Linked DNA regions of Rattus norvegicus. The protein of the gene in region 1 interacts with the protein of each later gene in a pairwise test. Links are inferred from orthologs where the notes say so. Each region holds a gene or a part of one and is shown in the gene's direction. Other genes may lie near its edges. The genes, in order: Nupr1 and Knstrn.

Region 1 (4,197 bases):
TCTACCACTGAGCTAAATCCCCAGCCCCCTGAAAAAGTTTAATATTAATTCATACTTGAATTCATACTGACTGGGTGTGGTAATGCACACCTTTAAACCCAGCACTCAGTGGGTAGAGGCAGATTGATCTAAACTCAACACTAGACACAAACTCCACAAGAGAACCATCATAGGCTGTTCTACAGAGCAAGTTCTAAGCCAGCCACAGCTCAAAGGTGAGACTCTGACTAAAACAAAGAGGGGGGTCAAAGCACAAACACCTGTTTATTTCATTATGCCCTCCACAGCAATGTATTATTTAGAATGTAAAAGTCACATGCAGTTATCGTGTGTGTGTGTGTGTGTGTGTGTGTGTGTGTGTGTGTGTGTGTGTGTGTGTGTGAATGGGCATGGGAGGGTCAGAGGACACTCTGTGGGAGATTTTTCTCTCCCATACTGTTGGGGTCCTGGAAACCGATGAACTCAGGTTGCCAGGCTTGGCGGCAAGTACTTTACCCATTGAGTCATCTTGCCAGCCCACAGTATTTTATTTTAAATCTCCCCCCCCCCCTTTGGTCACAGCAAAAACACTGTGTGGCTGTGTGGGAAACCATGGAAAATTATGACTAATCCTTATACCATTCCCAGCTGCTGTGAAGGCTTTTCCAGGCCTCATGTCCCTGCAGCCTCTCACAATGGAGGTAGATGGGGTTATCCTCTGTTAAAGGGGAAAACTGAAGCAACTAGAGAGGGAAAGTAACATGACCAAGGTCACACAGGAGACACTGGATCTGAGCTGATTTGTAATTCCAGCGTTTAGTATGATGAGGCAGGAGAATTGCAAGTTCAAGGGCTAACCTGGGCTCCATAGAAGGCCTCTGTCAGAAAGCAGGGCAGAGGGAGGTGGATCAGGAATCAGAGTGTGGAATCCAGAGTATTTGCTGTCTCTACCAGATAGCTATCCTCCACCTTGGATGAGGAGGAAGTCCCTGGGAACTCTATTGAAGTAAAGTGAGGGGACTTTCCTTAAAAATAGAAGCCTTGGTTGTGACAGGAACTGCTGACTTAGCGAGAAGTGGGTCAGTGTCTCTCCTCCCTCCCTTTTCAGTGGGTATGCTGCCACTAACTCCTGAGTCTGAACCAGACTACAATGTACAATGTACTCTGTGTGTGTGTATGTGTGTGTATGTATGTGTGTGTGTATGTGTGTGTATGTATGTGTGTGTGTATGTGTGTGTATGTGTGTGTATGTGTGTGTATGTGTGTGTATGTGTAAGTGTGTGTGTGTATATGTGTGTATGTGTGTATGTGTGTATGTGTGTGTATGTGTGTGTATGTGTGTGTGTATGTGTGTGTGTATGTGTGTGTGTGTGTGTGTGTGTGTGTGTGTGTGTGTGTGTGTGTGTGTTCTGCGGCCCTCTGCTCTCTCTGGCCAACATCCCAAAGACTGTTTGTACCCAGATCCTGTCTGCTTCCTCCTCCCCCAGAGGCAGGAGCTTTCCACGTGGAAAAACACAGCTGGGCTTGGGTGAGTCCTGTGAGGGAGGAGAAAGGGGAGGGTGCTCCTCTCTGCTCAGGACTGGTGTATATGGACCCAGTTCTGGAAAAAGGCCAGATTGCATCAGACAGGGCTTGGAGGGCGGGAACCAGCCCCATGGTCTAAGGAGGAGACAGCGTTATAAGTAGGGGTGAGGGAACTGGGAGAGGGCAGACATTTGGAAAACAGGCAAGACTTTGGAGAAAGCAGACCAGGTATGATGGCCACTTTGCCACCAACAGCCCACACTTCCCAGCAACCTGTAAACATAGAGGACGAAGATGGGATCCTGGATGAGTATGACCAGTACAGCCTGGCCCAATCTTATGTCGGTAAGGTCTGCATGGCAGCTCCTTGGTCAGCTTCCCCTCTTCTCACCCCCAACCCCATCTTACCTAATCTATTAGCTAATCTATTCCCAACTCCCAAGTACCCCCTTTCTAGTCTCATCTACTGAGTTTGTCTTCCTTAGCCCCAAGAACTCACAAGTGAGTGTCTCTCCTTCTAGACATGAGTAAACAGCTAGGGTAGAGTGCCTCAGATGTACAGGGTGACCATCACATTCTGGCCATCCTGCCCTACCCACCCCTAAGCTCCCAGCTATTTATTTGCCTGTCCCCTGAACCTCACACACCTCCTCTGCCCTGTTTCCTCTAACGCCTGCTCAACCAGTCGGTGGAGGTCGGAAAGGACGTACCAAGAGAGAAGCTGCTGCCAACACCAACCGCCCCAGCCCTGGTGGGCATGAGAGGAAGCTGCTGACCAAGTTCCAGAACTCTGAAAGGAAAAAGGCCTGGCGCTGAGACAGAGCTGGAGGTGAGGAGTCAAGAGCCAGAGAGGCAGTGAGGGAGGCACTTGCAGCCAAGCAGGACAACCTATGCTTGATTGATCTCTGGGATCCGCATAATGAAAGAGGGGAGAGAACAACTGCAAGCTGTGTTCTTGAGGGGGCCCTGCAGATACCCAGGCAGGGAAGTGATAAGAATGAAAACCCCATTCAGATTGACTTCCATCAACTTGGATCAGATTTCAGGGTGTCTGATGCCAGGAGGGTTCATTGTCAGCATATTTAAAACACAGTTCAACTTGGGAAGAGGTTTCTAGGCAACAATCAGTCCAATTCCGGGAGCACAGTAAAGCGTAAGGTGTGACTACTTGGAAGCTCATTTAAAAGTACACGTGACCCTGAGGGTGGGTTCTGTACAGCTGAAGGACCTAGGATCTAGTGTGGTCTCTACCAATAGCATGGAGTTCAGCAGGTAGATGTGACATCTCTCCTAAGAGCGGGGAATGCTCTAGGGAGGGAAGAGTCTGGGATAATCAGTCTGGAGAATTCGAGTGAGGTCTGCCTCTATAGCAAAAGCTGGGGGGAAGTCTGACTCCACACAGAGCAGAAAGGTCACTGGGTTGTTAACAAAAGTCCACTCTCAGATTTCTAGATGGAATGCAAGTATTTGACTTGCCTCCTCCATTGAGGAGACACTCTGTGTGATCGACATTTCTCGTTCTTAGTGTTTCTCTGTGAGTACAAGGACCTCTGTACCCTCGATGTCCTCCGACCTCCACAAAGTAGCACTTGCCCAGGAGAATACACATGTGCCCACATGCATGCAAACACATCAGCAAATCGGTAAATGAAAAAATAGTGCTGTCATCTACATCTAGAACAATGTGAGACCCATACTTGACTGAAGTTCCCTGGCAACCAAAGGGGAGAAAAGTTTCCCAGAGAGCCTTTCCAATGGAGGGGAAATTTGGTTTATGGAAAGGGAGACTGAGGCAGAGAGAGCCAAGTACTTCTCTAAAGTTATAGAAAATACGAGCAGGAAGGTGGGAATTCAAACTCTGATCTCTGTCCCTTTCATCATCTGCTTTCCCTCTCCACAGATGAGGCCAGACCACGGACACCACACCCAGCAATGGATACAGGACCTTGGAGAAATTAGGAGTTGTAAGCAGGACCTAGGCCTGCTTGATTCTTTCCCACCTAAGTGAGGCTCTGGAGAGGGAACACCAAAAAAAGCCCTTCCGGACCCAGCTAAAGGGCAAGTTAGGAGCGAGAAGCAGAGGGTAGATGGGCAGAGCTAAGAAGGCACCCCCAAAAAGAACAGTGGGAAAAACTGGATGCCCTTGGGTGGCAGTAACAATAAACTGTACAACAGTGACAGCATTTGTGTGTGTGTTGTGCTGTCTTTGTTGTGTTTGTGTGTATTGTATCTTGCTGTGTCCATGGTGTATCTCTCTTAGGAGACTATCTGGATGGGAGTTTTCTTACTGTGTAGCTTAGGGGGCTGTGACCAGTTGTCCAGTATTGTTGCCTTACCTAATGTATGCAGATGCTTTGAGGTGCCTGTTTCTATGGTCTCTTCTGGGGAAATTGCGGTTTCTTTGCAATACTGCCCCAGAGACAAACTGGCCAGTCCCTTCCCCATTCTTGAGCACAATGAGGTCCTATTATGTAGAGCTGCTTTTTGAAGAGAATGTTTCTATTAATACTATTTGCAAAATGACAAAAAAACCCCAACAACCTGAGGTTTAAAATATGCAAAGGATTTGTTTTAAGCAACTGAGGGCTCAAATCCAAGCATGGAATGACAGGCTGGCTTCCAGGGCAGGGTGCTTGGTGAACTGAAGAGAAAGTTCTCCTTAAGCAGGGTGGGTTGGTGGGTGCCAGGACCAGA
Region 2 (3,811 bases), on another chromosome or scaffold:
AGAGGCTGGCATGGGGAGAGGAAATAGTTTATATATACAGGGCAGTGAAACAGATGCTGTAGCTGACATGTTCTCTCTATTCCACTTATGGTTGATTCCTGAACTTTGGTCGTATACCTGATATTTCCCATGAAGATGTCTCAGAGTGGTTGGGAAGACATTTTGGTGAAAGTAGGCAGCACTTAAGAGAAAGCAGCTAGATGTTGACTGGGGAGAAAGGATGTGGGAACCTTGAGGGGGCAGTTGCAATTGGGTTCTTCCTCCTGTCTCCAAATTCACACGGCTGTAGCCGGTCAAGTGTGGTGTATCAGTAGTCACACAGAGCTGTCCCTTGCCATGAATTGTGTGTGTCAGTGCACACCTTGTTGCAGGACATTTGATCACATTGTGAACCCCGAGATTGGGAACTGGAAAACCTGTTTCTTGTGGTGTGGCTCAGCCCTAGCACACATTTAACCAAAGAGCTTTCTGTAGACAAGGGTTAAATGAAGTCAGTGACAGGTCAAGAGGCGGGGCAAGCATCCAGTTGACAGTGAACTTCAGAAAGCCCAGGAAAGAGAAAGGAAGGCCTGTGAGTGGAGGGGATTTAAGAGAGCATGGAGAGGGAGCTTTGCCCTCTAGGACATCAGTGGAGTAGGACAGTCAGCTAGGTGCTTTCTCTGTCTCTCTGAACTAGCAGCCTTTCAACTCAGCGCCTGGCTCCTGAGTCCTCATAGGTAAATCAAACGTTGGGGATTTTGTTTTATAAACAACACACTACAAACCCAGCATTTGGAGGCAGAGTCAAGAGTAGTCTCTACATTTTTAGAGCAAATTGGCGTAGAGACTTTCTTTGGACTTTCTAGTCCTATACTAAGATTTGACAGTATGAAAATAAGGGATTGTGGTAACTCAGAGTGAGGCTGTGTGTGGCACAGTGAGGAAGCTGGTGGGTCATGCTGTGGTTTCACGCCTGTTTTCCCTTTCAGATACACAAACTCGAGCTACTTCTAAGCTACCTGTTAAATCCAAAGACGCTGAGATGCTTAGACATCTTCATACGGGAGGCTTAGAGCCTGACGTTACAAAAGTCACCAAACCAAGACGAGAGAACGGGTGAGAGCAGATTGCTGACATTTGGTTATAACACCTCGAGAGAGCCCAAGGGCTTGCCCTGTGTGTGTGTGTGTGTGTGTGTGTGTGTGTGTGTGTGTTTAAGGGCCCTGGTTGACTTTCTAGCAGAGAGGTGGAGGGACAGAGAGAGATACTGATTTTTCTAGAAATTGCTGAACACCAAAAATGTTTAATAGAGACTGAAGAGATGGCTTAGCAGTTCTGAATTTGAGAGTACCTTCTGTTCCTAGCACCAGCACCGTGACTCAAATCCATCTCTAACCTAGTTTCAGGAAACCCAGTGTCTTCTTCTGACCTCTCTTGGTTCCAGGCACACATTTGATGCATATATACATGTAGGAAAGATACCCATCCACATAAAATAATCTGGCCAAACAGTCATAGCCTGAAAGCTGAGGCCGACTGTAAGCCTTATTCACGGGCCTGAGCAGGGTCCAGCCCCCGCATCTAGCATGAACATGTGACTCTAGCAGTGACCCTCTCCCATGTGACTGTGGTTGGCATGAGACAGCCGTAGAATCAGAAGCAGGCTCAGGTCATCAGGTCGTTGGGGGTGAAACCAGCGTGCATGGGCTCAGCAGCATGCATGGGCTCAGCTCTCAGCCCGAGCTGTTTACTGGGATGTGCACTTTGGTTCTTCCCTCAGAAACTCTTAAACCAGGTGTGATAGCGTGCACCTGCCATCCCAGAAGCGAGGAGGCTGAGGCAGGAGGATTAGGATTTCAAACCCTGTCTCAAAACAGCAAAGAAGCCAAGCCCTCATTTGCACCTTCTTTGTAGCACCAAGCACTGTGGTTCTCTGATGAACTTTGATTCTGCTTCCATAGGCAGGGGAAAGCTGCGGAGACTGCCAGCCGGAGGAACATCAGAAGCAGGTGAGCTGGGGACACACACACACACACACACACACACACACACACACACACACACACAACGGGGGACTGAGGGTGGAGGCTTGCAGTTGTGGCTACAGATGGCAGTCACATTAGGCTTGTGTGATGCCTGTTCTGAGTGGAATTTCGGGGATAAGACTCAAGGTGTAGAACCACCATCAGGGGAAGATCAGTGGCACCGTCATCCTGAGCAGTCGTCTTGGCAGGAAACCCAAAAGCTATTTTTAAGACAAGACTTTTGAAGGTTTTACCTGTATATGCGAGCAGGTAAGTGCAGATGCCTGGAGAGAATGGGACCTCCACTGAAGCTGGAATGATAGGCAGTTACGAGCTGCCTGATGTGAGTGCTAGGAACTGAGGTTGCATCCTCTAGAAAAGCAGCGCATGCTCTTCACCACTGAGCCATCTGCAGCCCCCGTGACCGGAAGAGGCTTCTTTGTAGGTGTGTTGGCTTAAGCCTGTAATAGGAGCCTGTAATAGGCTTAGGAAACCGAGGCAGGATTCCCACAAGTGCAGGGCTATCCTAGGCTGCACTCCAGGCCAACTAGGGTTGTGGGGAGTGCTGGCTACTCTTACATCATTACAAGCCAGAGTCACTGGAGAAGAGGGACCCTCAACTCAGAAAATGCCTCCATAAGATTGGGCTGCAGACAAGCCTGTATGGCATTTTTTTAAATTAAAGACTAATGAGGCAGGGCTCAGCCCCTTGTGGGTGAGGCCATCCCAGGACTGGTAGTCCTGAGTTCTACAAGAAAGCAGGCTGAGCAAGCTATGTGTAGCAAGTCAGTAAGCAGCACCCATCCATGGCCTCTGCATCAGCTCCTGCCTCCAGGTTCATTCTCCATGTGGGTTCCTGTCCTGACTTCCTTCAGTGATGGACAGTGTCTTAGTTATGGTTTCACTGCTATGAAGAGACAACATGACCAAGGCAACTTTTTTTTTTTTCTTTTTTCTTTTTTTTGGAGCTGGGGACTGAACCCAGGGCCTTGCGCTTGCTAGGCAAGCGCTCTACCACTGAGCTAAATCCCCAACCCCGACCAAGGCAACTCTTAAAGGGTCAAAATTTAATTGGGGCTGGCGTACAGGTTTAGAGGCCTAGTCTATTATCATCAAGGTGGGTGCTTGGCAGCATCTAGGCAGGCATGGCATTGGAGGAGCTTAAGGAACATAGGAGAAGACTGGCTTCCAGACAGCAAGAGGGTCTTAAAACCCACTCCTCCAGTGACACGCTTCCTTCAACAAGGCCGCATCTCCTAATAGTGCCATTCCCTGGGCCAAGCATATTCAAACCACCTTCCATTCCCTGGCCCCCATAGTCTTGTTCAAACACATGAGTCTATGGGGGCCATACCTAGGCATAGCATAATGCAAAATACATTTAATCCAACTTCAAAAGTCCCCATAGTCTATAGCAGTCTCAGCAATGTTAAAAAAGTCCAAAGTTCAAAGGCTCTTCTGAGATCCATCCAAACACTTAACTCTGATCCCTTATAAAATCAAAATCAAGAAGCAGGTCATATACCTCCAACATCACAGGATGTACATTACCATTCCAAAACGTCCCAGTGACGAAATTCTGAACCAAAGTAAGACCAAAAACCAGCTGGGCAGACTCCCAACTCTGCATCTCCATGTCTGATGTAAAAGTGGTCTTCATATCTCCAAATCCTTTCATCTTTGTTGACTGCAACAAACTTCTTTCTCTTGGCCTGGTTCCACTCCCTGTTAGCCCCTTTCCTCATCAGGTATCCCACAGCTCTGATATCTTTAACTTCTTGGGGTATCCAAGGCAACTTCAACTTTAC

Evidence for each region.
Region 2: the proteins of Nupr1 (region 1) and Knstrn interact in a two-hybrid assay, tested with the Homo sapiens proteins (2 studies listed by BioGRID and IntAct). The link is inferred for Rattus norvegicus from reciprocal best matches to the Homo sapiens genes NUPR1 and KNSTRN.

What each region holds. Positions count from the first base shown.
Region 1 is NC_086019.1:190,643,355-190,647,551, reverse strand, and holds Nupr1 (nuclear protein 1), read left to right. Parts: upstream 1-1,650; 5' UTR 1,651-1,736; coding exon 1,737-1,848; intron 1,849-2,188; coding exon 2,189-2,319; 3' UTR 2,320-2,332; intron 2,333-3,403; 3' UTR 3,404-3,686; downstream 3,687-4,197. UniProt on the Homo sapiens protein: Transcription regulator that converts stress signals into a program of gene expression that empowers cells with resistance to the stress induced by a change in their microenvironment.
Region 2 is NC_086021.1:126,257,665-126,261,475, forward strand, and holds part of Knstrn (small kinetochore-associated protein), read left to right. Parts: intron 1-968; coding exon 969-1,095; intron 1,096-1,940; coding exon 1,941-1,988; intron 1,989-3,811. UniProt on the Homo sapiens protein: Essential component of the mitotic spindle required for faithful chromosome segregation and progression into anaphase.